Linked DNA regions of Tribolium castaneum. The protein of the gene in region 1 binds, or shares a complex with, the protein of each later gene. Links are inferred from orthologs where the notes say so. Each region holds a gene or a part of one and is shown on either strand. Other genes may lie near its edges.

Region 1 (3,500 bases):
GTATAGAATTTTTTTTGACACTTTGATAGTAGTTTAACGGTTCAAAATCCTTCACCAGAGAGCGTAAAAGCGCGAATTAAATCCACATAATAATTAAATACCTACCGCTAGATGTCGTGACAAAAACCTCGTCTTTGGGCCCCTTCCACGAACAAACAAGGCACGTTTCAACATCGTGCCTCCACAGTGTCTCCTCACGCACTTTAAAATCGTGCATTGCATAGACAATCTCGTCGTCAATGATCGGAAATCTCTCCAAAGAGGCATCACGTGCCTCACTGTCCACATCCAGAAACAAATGATTAATGTCATGAGGCAAAGTCACGCCCATGTAACACCGATCCTCGCTTTCGTTCCGATCGTGGACACTAAACCGCTTAATACTTGTCCCAGTGGTATTTAAAAGATTGAAATCTTCGATTAGTGAAACGGGAACATCCCAGCTACTATCACTCCGGATATCGTCCGAGTCGTAGGCGGGTTCTTCCAAATACCTCGGCGATTTTCGTAAGGAACGAAGTGTGGCATAGCCAACCAGATCCTGATGGCTCAGCTTACTGGACCCGCCCCCGCCCAGCGATTGGAGCGAGCGATCCGAGTTAGACCCGCCTGAAAACACGCCCATTAGCCACGCCCAGCATAGCCTATTAAGTTACTTTGAACTGAGACACGCCGTGACGATTCCGAATGACGCCGCACTTTCGCCGATTGTTTTAACGTACTGAGACTACAGGAACTTGGTATAGGACTCAAGATTTGTGGCCGTTCGCTGAAATGCCCAATTAAGAAAAAACAAATGTAAAATAGTGACTTACTAGATCACAGATTTGCCTCCGCCGAAGGAATCGCACGAACTCACCCCGGACGTGGTCGATTCCGTGGTCGAATTGTTCCGAACGCGCCTCACAATCTCGGTACCCAATCGGAAGCTGCCTTTTTTACTGTCCTGAGGCGCTCGGATAATCTCGAAGGTTTTCGACTCGGACAGCGACCTCTTGTGGTAGCCCGCCGCTTGGTTCTGATTGGCCGGCAAAGTCAGGCTTTTCTGGGGGCCTGCCACTGTGGAATCGGGCAACATTGACTCGGACGTATCGTCGTCAGTGCTGCCCTCTACGTCCTTAATTCCCGAGTCGAAGTAATACAAAGTGGGCGTGATATCGGGGAAACTACTCGGAAGTCGTAAACTGTCCTCGTCCTCGTCCCACGCCTCCTCTTCGATGATTGGCCACGCCACGTGTCGGTTATGACGTGTGCTAAACCAACCCAGTTTGAAGAGTTCGTCGGCGCCTTGTCGCGTTGTTGCGATTAGACCGAGGGCGTAATACGAAGTTGCCCGAATCGAGAACACTAAGCACTCTTGTGCCAAGGTTATCAAAGCTGCCAAACAGTTGTGCAAAATTAGGTATCTTAGGCCCTCGCTGGTGCTGCCGAAGTGGCCCAAAGCCCATATTGAGGCTTTCAGTTTCAAAATATCGTCCTCGGTCTCACAAACGCCATTCGTGAGAAACTAGAAATAAAGAATTATCGCAATGTGAGCGCCTTTTAAATCGTAATTTCGAAGTTTTATAAAATATTTATTTGAATTGTGTAGCAATTTTCACGTTAAATAATTTATGCTGGCAGCGACAGTGACAAAATAAATAAAAACTGGAGGTATTTTTTCATTTTATATAAGTGCTGTGTATAAGTGTTTTCTGTTTTGCAAAATGATTTTCGAAGAATTAACTTACACTTTATTAAAATTGGGTAATAATACCAATGTTTCTCAGAAAAAAAACAAGTCAGAGCTGATAATAGTACAGCATACCAAATTACTAAGAACAGTGCTAAAAATTTTGACTTTGTAACACCGTTTTTAGTACAAATCTGGTAAACAATTAATTAAAGAAAAAAACGTAATTAATAAAAATTAAAAAGGGTACAAGAAAAAACCCAGATTAAAGCGCCAACAGGAATCAGACGAATTAAAAAAAACAAAAAAAAAGAATTATAACGATGACGATGAAAAAAATAGTCAACAAACGCGAAATAGAAAATAACAGTAGGTACTTATACAGAGTTTTGAACCAAACGTTTTGTGTCTAAATTAATTATGTACCTTACGAAAAAACTAATTAGTATTATGTATCATTAACTACTTTTAAAATGTAATCATTTTTCAAAAATAATTTTTTCAATTTTTTTTAGTTTTCGAGTTATTAAAAAATTTTTTTTTCAAATATATTTTTATAAATGACTTCTAATTCAATAATTTTGTTTTTAAAACAGTGTTTTTTTAATAAAGTATTAGAATTACGTTCCGAGCTCATTACGACGATTTGTTCAAATTTAGCCGAAGAAGTTGTATTCATGGATATAAATAAAAACATAACAATTTATTAAAAAAAAATACACCGGTTAAAAAATAATACTATTTTCAAGCAATTTTAAAGCACAATCATTTACCAAAAAAATCGCCGTGGTGGAGTATCATTTATTATTTATTATATATATATTTCTTGAACAACTCGAAAACTAAAATGAATTTCGAAAAAAAAAAATTAAAAATGCATAAATTTTGTTTTATGCAAAAAAATCGCCGTGGTGGTGTGTCAATTATTATTTATTATATATATTTTTTGAATAACTCGAATTAGAAGTTGTTTACAATTAAATATGAGCCACAAAGTAAATAAACTTTAGGGGTTCTTTATTTTCATGGGCTAGCAATAATTTTCTGTAGGAATATTTGCACAAAACACCATTTCAGAATATCATTAGCAATAAATAGACACAATATTAATTAATTTCTAGCATTTCAAGTATAAAGGATTGTAAAAAAAATTCTGAAAAAAATCACAGACAGAGAAAAAAAAAGTATTTAACAGCAAACGCTCATTTTTATCTGTGTATTAGTTTTTTAGATGTACCATGGAACAATCTAGTAAAACACACTTTTAGAAGTTTCACCTTGTAAACTTAGCACTTACAGCGTTTCGTTAAACAAATAAACGCTTTTTTATTTCACTATTTTTTAGATTGGTAAATATTATATTGGTAAATTTTATATTAAATAATTTGTTCTGGCAATCACTCACTGACAGAGACTGATAAAAAACATACGACCCATCAAGGATTTTTTTAGTTCCTATTTTGTGTTTTCTATTTTGCAAAATAATGTTCAAAGAATTAATTACAACCCGAAAAAAGGGCAATCAGTCCAGTATAATTTTTTTTGAATTTGTACAATTTTTTGGTACAAAATAAATGGGTGTTTCACCTGAATCATGTTTTCCAGCGACCCGTGCTGCACTAGAATGAGAAAGCCATCAGTGTGCCGCGCCAATTGTCCGTAAAGATGCGGCGGCAAGAAAAAATCCTTCCTATTTGTCGTCCTTATCGTGCTTGTCCTCTTATCGTATTTCCCGTCCTCGTCCCTCTGATGTAAAGTCAAAGCATCGGAGGTTTCACCCTCGACTAGTTTAATGTATCTATAAATGAAATACTCGTCCCATCGTTTA
Region 2 (4,166 bases), on another chromosome or scaffold:
CACATTGAGGAATTGAGTAGTAGTGAAAGTGAGAAGGAGCAAGAGAAGAGGCCGAGGTCGGGGCGAGAATCGCACCAAAGTCGGAGGTCAAAGAGGTCCAAAACCTCAAAAAAATATCAAAGCGACTCGGAGAGTTTCAACAGACAGAGTGACAGCTCGTCGAGTCCAGAACTGAGAGAGTTGTTATGAGGAACGACTGATTTTATACGAAAAGCAGCTTCGTATTTATTTGTACAAAAATGTGATTTTTATAACTTTTACCAAATAAAAAATTATAAGCCTTTCGTATTATTAATGTGCCCATTGCTCCTTCCCCACGAATGTCGAAGTGCATACTTTTATTTTCAAAGAGTTATTAACTAAAAAAATACTCGCACCTGAGAATGTAAAAAATTTTCAAACGTTGCGTAAATTGCTATTATGAGTAGTAGTAACATATTGCATTTTTTTAATTCGCTCAACTTGTGTGGTTTTGGGTGTATTTTATGAAACAAGTGTGTCGTGTTTTTAAGTATTTTATTAATTAAAAAAATTACTGTTCCTTAACTTCTCTGAGACGACGAACGGCTGATCGGAGAGACGATGCTGCTGTGGTAGAATAGACCCAAGCGCCTCCTGCTACCACACGTTTGCACCTTTTGCAGGACCAAATCCCTACACAACTCCTTTTCATGGCATCCTAAAAGAAGTCATTCAAAACATTCTAAAAACTAATCAAAGAATAACAAAAAAAATTATGCAAGTTTCAACAATGAAATCAACTAGAGTGTTGGCAATCTTTACCTTGCCACAAAAACTGCAGGAATACTTGCTGTGTTGAGTAATTTCCATTTTTTTGACCATTTTACGGAGGGAGGCCCCATAACGGGTTCCGTATTTTCCGACAATTCCGACCTTCTTCGTACGCTTGGCCTACAAAAAACACAATGTTACATAACAAAAACTTAACAATTTTAGCATTTTTTCCAAAGACACAAAAACTAGGTTATACGTAACCTCAATAGTAAAAAATGCCGACTGTGGCTTCTATGGCCAAAAAATCGTTATACAATAATGGAAATTGACTCATTGTGTCCATTTCGAATAAAATGCATACAAAATATCTTAGGATGATTAAAATAATACTCGATTTTCGCAAACTTACCATTTTTGTAACACTTTTGACAAGTCTCACAAATGTAAGAGAAGTTGGCAACACTCAGCACACACGAATTCACCAAACTAGTCGGAAAACGGAATTCCCTAAGTTTTTTTTTATAAAAAATCTAACGTTTTTTTAATTATGTAAAGGGATTTATCACATATTTAAGATTACAAGTTTTTACATGACTGTAATAAACACAAGAAAAGACTTTTTGTGCTTGATTTAGGCCCCATTGAAATTCAAACCGGCCGAAAAATCCCCCAAGTCATTCGGCAAAAATGGAAGCACCATCATGAGTGTGATAACAATCTTTCAGTGTTGATAAACCCGAAAATGCTTCCTTTCTAACGTCGCACCGTCACCATGTCCACTTTGGCCATGCAACAATTCGTTGCGGGGTTGAAATCCCGCAACCCCGACGTTCGTCAAAAAACCGCACGAGAATTAAGCTTGTACGTAAAAAGCGAGCTTCGCGAAGCCACCCCCGACGAAATAACAAACTTCCTTGACGAATTCAACCACCACATCTTCGAAATGGTCTCGAGCAACGACCCCAACGAGAAAAAAGGCGGAATTTTGGCGATTGGTTAGTCACAATTTAAACCCAAACTTTCCTCAATTCCTTCTTCTAGTATGTTTGATTGGAGTCGATTTCGGGAACATGACCACACGTATATCACGCTTCGCCAATTATTTACGCAACTTGTTGCCCTCGAGCGACGTGAGCGTCATGGAGTCGGTGGCGAAGACAATGGGGCGCTTGGCGCTGGTCTCAGGCTCAAAAGCCTCCGAATACGTCGAGTTTGAAGTTAAGAGGGCCTTTGAGTGGCTCAGTGGCGACCGGATTGAAGTATGAACTCCTCAAAATTGGCCCAGTTTGAGTAAAATTCTTCTAGGGGAAGCGACAAGCTGCCGTTTTAGTCTTGAAAGAGTTGGCATTAACTATGCCGACGTATTTCTACCAACATGTGTCGCAATTTTTCGATCTGATTTTTTTCGCGATACAGGACCCCAAACCTGCCATTAGGGAGAGCGCTGTGGAGGCTTTGAGGGCCGCTTTGGTCGTCACAGCGCAACGAGAAACGGCCAAACAGAACCAAAAGCCACAATGGTACGCACAGTGTTAAGTTAATTGCTCTTCTTGCTTTCTCAGAACTAAATGTTCAACTATATATGTCCGGCAAATTTTTTTATTAATAATTTAATAATAAAATATCGTTTGGTTGTTTGACCCTCGATTTTTTCTTTAGGTACAAACAGTGTTACGACGAATCCGTGAAAATGCTCTCGGTGGAAAGAGGCGAACGCATGAAAGAGGAGCGCGTCCACGGCTTTCTCCTCATTCTCAACGAACTGGTGCGTTGCTCAAATGCCGAATGGGAACGCAAATGCAAAAGTTTGCTCGAACGCACCGACACCAAACAACCAGTCGAGACTAGCTTCAATTTTACTAAATCTCGCTTCGTCTTTTCGGTCTCTCGACGCATCCCCCAATACCAAGCTGTGTCTTTGGCACCCTCTCAAATTGCAATCATAGAATCCCAAAGTTGCCGAGGCCTCGTTTCCGAGAAATTCGACTACATTTGTTTAGACGTCCTGGCTCAGAGACTCTCCCGTTCGTCCCACATCCAACAAAGTTTTCTCACGATTTTACCCCGATTGGCTGCTTTTGACCGCGAAAACTACGTCAAGCAGCACTTAAGCCCCGTCATGAACCACATCTTCAACATTTTGAAGAGTCGGGAAAAGGAGAGAGCTAAGGCTTTTGTGACTATTGGCTTAATTGCGATCGCTGTCGAGAGCGACATTGAGCCGTACATTGAACGTATTATGGAAATAATTCGCATGTATTTGCCCCGAGCCGATATTTTGGGGCGCAAGCGGAGCCCCATCGACTCCTCAATTTTCAACTGTGTCACTTTCCTAGCCCACGCCCTCAAAAACCACTCAAAAATGGACATCCCGAACCTCCTGGAACCAATGCTAGCAACGGGATTAACCGCATCCCTCACGATATGTTTCCGGGAATTATCCCGAAAAGTCCCGGAACATAAAGAACGAATCAGTCTCGGGTTATTAAAAATGCTGAGTTATATTCTCCTGAATAAACCACTAGTTCATCCCGGGATGCCCCGCCACTTGACCGGAACCGTAATGAGTCTTGCAATACCAGAAGTCAACGATGTGCAAATCATAGTTTTGGCCCTCAAAACACTCGGAACGTTTGACTTTGAGGGCCAGAGACTCCTCCCTTTTGTCCACCGCTGCGCCAATCATTTCCTCATCCATGACAATAACGAAATCCGATTGGAGGCTGTCAGAACCACGTGTCGGCTCCTCCGACATGCTATTCACTCCACAGCGAAAAACTCGTCGGATACGGTCACCAAAACCGTAGCTGCTGTTTTACATCGTTTGTTAAGTGTTGGTTTGACCGATACCGACCCAAATGTCCGGTACGGAGTCTTGATTTCGCTCGATCGTACGTTTGATAATCATTTAGCACAAGCTGAGTCGCTCAGTGCGCTGTTTCTGGCGTTGCAAGACGAAATGTTTGAAATACGCGAAGTTGCACTGTTTACAATCGGGCGCTTGAGTGCGATGAATCCGGCATATGTCATGCCCTCGTTGAGGAAAACTTTAGTGCAGTTTTTATCCGAATTGGAACATTCGGGCAGTGGGAGGAATAAGGAACAAGGGGCGAGGATGTTAGATCATTTGGTTGTGAGCGCCCCGAGGATGATAAGGCCCTACATGGAGCCCATTTTGAAGGTAAAAACGGGTTACCAAGTGATAAATTTTAAAGTAGCGTAAAATTTGCCCGGCGCATCCACCATTTTTGCTCCGAGGAAAATTTTATATTACGAAGGAAAGACAGGGAACGACTTTTGTTTCCAATAATTGGAATTAAAAACGTCATTTTCTAACTCAAATTTTAAAGGATCGTAAAATTTGCCCGGCGCATCCACCATTTTTGCTCCGAGGAAAATTTTATATTACGAAGGAAAGACAGGGAACGACT
Region 3 (3,783 bases), on another chromosome or scaffold:
ATACAAAATTACATTTTTTTCATCCGTGAAAAATATGCTCAAACTAAATCACAGCACGAACATGTGGGACATGTAATGGGGCTAAAAAATCATTTAATGATGTAATGCGGTAATCGCTGGGTTTAAGCCGTTAGTGCGGTTAAATTAGTTGGCCATGACTACGGATATCTAAAGGTTAGGATAAATAAAGCGTTCCCGTCCTCTCTACAAATTTCTTCCTCACATTTTTCTTGTATCTTCAACTGTATTCAAACCGCAAATTTAAAATTTTAATTTTTTTTCTTATGTTTCTTATAAAAATTTTAATAGTTAGTTTTTCTGTCTGTTAAGAGTGCAAAGCTTAACGTTCCTGATGTTTTCCAAGTAATTAGTGAATTGGTTGGATTTAAATTAATTTAAAACGATTTGGTACTGAGACGATATAACGCTCGAAACGCCCTCATTTTTACAATGTTGTACTATTTTTTCGGGTCCAGAAAATCTCGTTTCGTCTCCTAGCTTATAGTTCACCGTAGCCATGACGACTAAACCGACTTGATTGAATTTTGCCCTATATTTATTTGCCTAGTCTGTAAAAAGTACGATTTCATTACTTCATCATTATATGAGAATTGTTTATAATTCAAAAAATTCATAATTAGGCACAGGTGGAACACCTGTCTGGACACCTGTTGAATTTTGTTCCAAACCTACCAAGCCTAATTTTGGGGTTGTTTGTTGTATGGAACCAACAAAATTTATGAAAAAAATGTGTGATTTATTTATTTGTCAATAAACTGCATACAGAAAAATTAGGTAATGATCAATCACAGTTGACTTTGAGTTGTCATGGCAAGCTGGGTCATAAAACTCTCCCCATGTCCTTGCCATAATTTCTCTCAAAAATAAACTTTTCGTCCGAGTTAATCATTTTTCTGAGAAACGGAGGCCTAAATCGGTGTGACTCACCTCATCTTCTCACATTGCAGAAACAGTTATTGTTCCAAAACCTTTCTAATTTTTGTATCAAGGAAATTTAAATAACAAAAGATACAAATCAACTACTTTTATAAAAAGCCAAAACGTGTACGAAACCGGAAGTAGGACTTACCCAAGAAAACAGAAATTGGTCCCAACCTCCAAGAACTCAAGAAACCCATCTTTGAGACAACTGGATTGCGGTTTTTTCGTTACATTCATTAAAATCATATGCACCATGAAGCAACAACGGGGAGGTGTGTTTATGTTGAAAAAAACATAATTTTATTATTTAAAACCAGTAAATAAACACAAAATAAACGACAGGTTCACAAGACAACAACACCCAGCACCCACACAACACTTTTTCTAGTGACAATTTTAGTGATTTTGTTGTGTGTAGACAGTGCTCCCAATATGAACCAAATTTCAAAAATTTAGCAATTGGGGCCAATGATATCGAAAAGTGTTTGATTTTTTGATAAAACGACACGTTTTAAAATATTAAAATATGCTCAAAAAAAGCGTTGTCGCCTATTATCTAACAATAATGAGCGTTATGTCAAGTTCTTACATAACCTAACTTGTCAATGTTTACATCAGACACGATGGCCCTTTACGACAACAAATACTGGTTATTATCACACATACGCAACTCTTTCATTTCTACAGATGATACAGGTTTGGCTAGGTTTCAAAATCACACTCGATTAACAAAGTTTTAGGAATGTGCGAGTTAATAATGACAGGGGAGGAAGGTGTCAGGAAACACCTGAAGCAAAGCCTTGATTCGTACCCTGATGACGAAGACAGTGAAGATGAAGATGATTTGTCTCACGAATCTTACGACCTACAACTTGACACCGATTTCCCGTTACGATACAGATCGAATACTGCCGTAAGATTAGAAAAATTAGAACAGGTTAAAAAGAGAACTGGCAGAATCAAACATATTAAATGGGAAACGAACAAGAACGAGTTGAGTGAGGAACAAATTGATCAGTTATTCGTAAAAAAGGAACCCAAAGTAATAGAACCGAAGCAATCTTTGTTTTCTAAAACCTTCAAGGAGCATAAGATGATGCCCATTAACCCTTATATGGATTATGCCAAGTTTGATGGCAGCGGACAAGTCAATCTTCAAGTGAAGAAGTATAGAATTTTCCTAACAATGCTACCAGAGCACCAGAGGAATTACCCCTTGGCTGTTTGTTGCACCTCTTCTGCTAAAATTCAAGAGTTGATTGGACTTATATTACTCAAATGCAGGTTTGTTAACTTGATCCTGAAGTTAGGTTGGCAATATTCTAAGTTACTGATGACATAGTTGCACGCTATTGGCTAAGCGTTAAAATGTTGCCAACTTGATTTCAAAGTCACAGGCCACTTTGACCAGGAAATGAAATAATTGAAAAACAAAATTTTTAAGTACAATGTATGAAGACTATCCTTGGAAGCCCGTAAACAATTACGGTTTGTACATAACTGAAGAAGACGGAGAAGTGGATAGGGACTTCCCCAACTTGGACCCGAGGGAAAATATTGCCAAATTTGGGTTTGCTTGTTTAGGGCTTGTGGAACATTCAGATCCCTCAAAGTGTGTCAGTTTTGGGAACTCTGAAACTGTTACAATCAGAAAATTCGATTACAATGACAAAAAAGGAAAAGGTTCGCTTTTGCCACATTTTGGTTTAAAATTTAAATTTTTTCTTTAGATTCGTCTAAACAAGACCAGGAAAAACAAATCACCACCGATTTACACTTAATGGACGTTCATAAAAAAGCAATGGAAGCCCCACTGTACAAATCGTTCAAAGTCTACATGATTAATAAAATGCGGGCCAAAGTTGAAATACATTTAGGAATAAGTGGCGAAAAAATCGAAATTGACCCAGTGCAAAAAAACTCGAAATTTGTTCTAGTTAAACAAAAACCCATAAACCACGATATGGACATGATCGCGTGGTGCGAACCCATTGAAACTACCAAAAGCAACAAAATGACTTTCAAAATCATTTACAGCCATTCGTTCGCAAACGCTGAAAATGGTATTTTTTGTAATTATTTAATTTTCTTGATTATTTAATTGTTTTTCTAGTTTCAAGTCCAACTTTACAATCTTCAGCTAGCTTCAAAAGTTACGAATTTGAGGCAGACCAATCAATTGCCGAAGAAATCGTAAATAAAATAAACCTGATTTTGGATTTGAGGTCTAGTGACACACGGAAGGAGTATTTGGCAGCGCAAGAACGGAAATATTATAAGAAAAAAGCGTTGATTTAAGTAACTTGTATACTAAAATATAATAATAAATTCATAAATTATTTTTTTGCGTTATGATTTGGGAACGTACCCTCGTTACATAACCTCAACCGTCACCTGTCAGCTGTGAGTGTCATTACCCTCTTGAGAAAAAAACAGAAAAAGGAAAATCATGTTTGGCTTTTTTTGACGCTTATCATATATGAGATAAGCACAAGGGGGCTATAAAATGGTAAACTGACTCCACTTTGTGTTATTTCGAACAAAACGGGCCTAAAAATGGTGATAATATAATTTAAAGCGCTATGGATATATTTTTGTTCATGTTCCTAGTTTTTATATCTTTTTTAATTGGTATTATAGTGACTCTCGTGGTGCAATATTATATTTTGTATTCTTATTTTAAAACAAGTCCAGTGGTCACACCAAATGAGAAAAAGTGTTCTACTGATTACGTTTTACCAGAGGTATGTATTAAATATTTATGTTTTTGTGTGTATCGAAGCGCTTTTAGTCTTTGAAAAAACAATTGGATAGTGAAGAATTGAACGATGCGACGAGTTT

The links. The genes of interacting proteins can lie anywhere in the genome.
Region 2: the proteins of rictor (region 1) and mTor are in contact, whole or in part, in a cryo-EM structure (PDB 6ZWM), measured with the Homo sapiens proteins. The link is inferred for Tribolium castaneum from reciprocal best matches to the Homo sapiens genes RICTOR and MTOR. Residues at the interface, in NP_689969.2 of Homo sapiens: Leu204, Arg205, Gly206, Asn209, Arg245, Asp247, Val248, Glu249, Glu251, Arg252, Leu254, Thr258, Asp259, Phe260, His261, Tyr262, Arg263, His264, Ser265, Pro266, Asn306, Gly308, Ser311, Gly314, Val315, Cys317, Ile318, Pro319, Glu345, Ile347; in NP_001373429.1 of Homo sapiens: Arg1028, Asp1032, Lys1068, Leu1069, Asp1108, Asp1109, Tyr1110, Asp1150, Lys1187, Asn1196, Val1200, Gln1207, Asp1210, Val1211, Cys1214, Arg1215, Lys1218, Gly1219, Tyr1220, Thr1221, Leu1222, Ala1223, Glu1226, Glu1227, Asp1228, Leu1230, Ile1231, His1234, Arg1235, Arg1238.
Region 3: the proteins of rictor (region 1) and Sin1 are in contact, whole or in part, in a cryo-EM structure (PDB 7PE7), measured with the Homo sapiens proteins. The link is inferred for Tribolium castaneum from reciprocal best matches to the Homo sapiens genes RICTOR and MAPKAP1. Residues at the interface, in NP_689969.2 of Homo sapiens: Arg108, Gln137, Glu140, Thr144, Leu147, Arg148, Arg151, Lys152, Thr155, Arg182, Met183, Arg185, Ala186, Ala189, Cys192, Glu193, Leu196, Leu220, Arg222, Ile223, Glu225, Ala226, Leu227, Thr229, Thr230, His233, Asn236, Arg293, Trp295, Glu844; in NP_001006618.1 of Homo sapiens: Ala2, Phe3, Leu4, Asp5, Asn6, Pro7, Ile9, Ile10, Leu11, Ala12, His13, Ile14, Arg15, Gln16, Ser17, His18, Thr20, Ser21, Asp22, Asp23, Thr24, Met26, Cys27, Met29, Val30, Leu31, Ile32, Asp35, Val36, Ser84.

Annotation. Positions count from the first base shown.
Region 1 is NC_087395.1:23,064,381-23,067,880, reverse strand, and holds part of rictor (rapamycin-insensitive companion of mTOR), read right to left. Parts: coding exon 3,260-3,500; intron 1,508-3,259; coding exon 816-1,507; intron 770-815; coding exon 657-769; intron 610-656; coding exon 106-609; intron 1-105. UniProt on the Homo sapiens protein: Component of the mechanistic target of rapamycin complex 2 (mTORC2), which transduces signals from growth factors to pathways involved in proliferation, cytoskeletal organization, lipogenesis and anabolic output.
Region 2 is NC_087399.1:3,302,849-3,307,014, forward strand, and holds the start of mTor (serine/threonine-protein kinase mTOR), read left to right. Parts: upstream 1-1,366; 5' UTR 1,367-1,507; coding exon 1,508-1,730; intron 1,731-1,776; coding exon 1,777-1,994; intron 1,995-2,040; coding exon 2,041-2,255; intron 2,256-2,394; coding exon 2,395-3,916; intron 3,917-4,166. Other genes in the region: smo (smoothened), read left to right, coding at 1-189; RpL37A (large ribosomal subunit protein eL43), read right to left, coding at 533-679, 784-912, 1,145-1,147. UniProt on the Homo sapiens protein: Serine/threonine protein kinase which is a central regulator of cellular metabolism, growth and survival in response to hormones, growth factors, nutrients, energy and stress signals.
Region 3 is NC_087397.1:9,927,726-9,931,508, reverse strand, and holds Sin1 (target of rapamycin complex 2 subunit MAPKAP1), read left to right. Parts: upstream 1-1,477; 5' UTR 1,478-1,547; coding exon 1,548-1,638; intron 1,639-1,682; coding exon 1,683-2,226; intron 2,227-2,386; coding exon 2,387-2,625; intron 2,626-2,672; coding exon 2,673-3,005; intron 3,006-3,055; coding exon 3,056-3,240; 3' UTR 3,241-3,283; downstream 3,284-3,783. Other genes in the region: crb (protein crumbs), read right to left, coding at 1,091-1,139; Pdzd8 (PDZ domain-containing protein 8), read left to right, coding at 3,525-3,686, 3,734-3,783. UniProt on the Homo sapiens protein: Component of the mechanistic target of rapamycin complex 2 (mTORC2), which transduces signals from growth factors to pathways involved in proliferation, cytoskeletal organization, lipogenesis and anabolic output.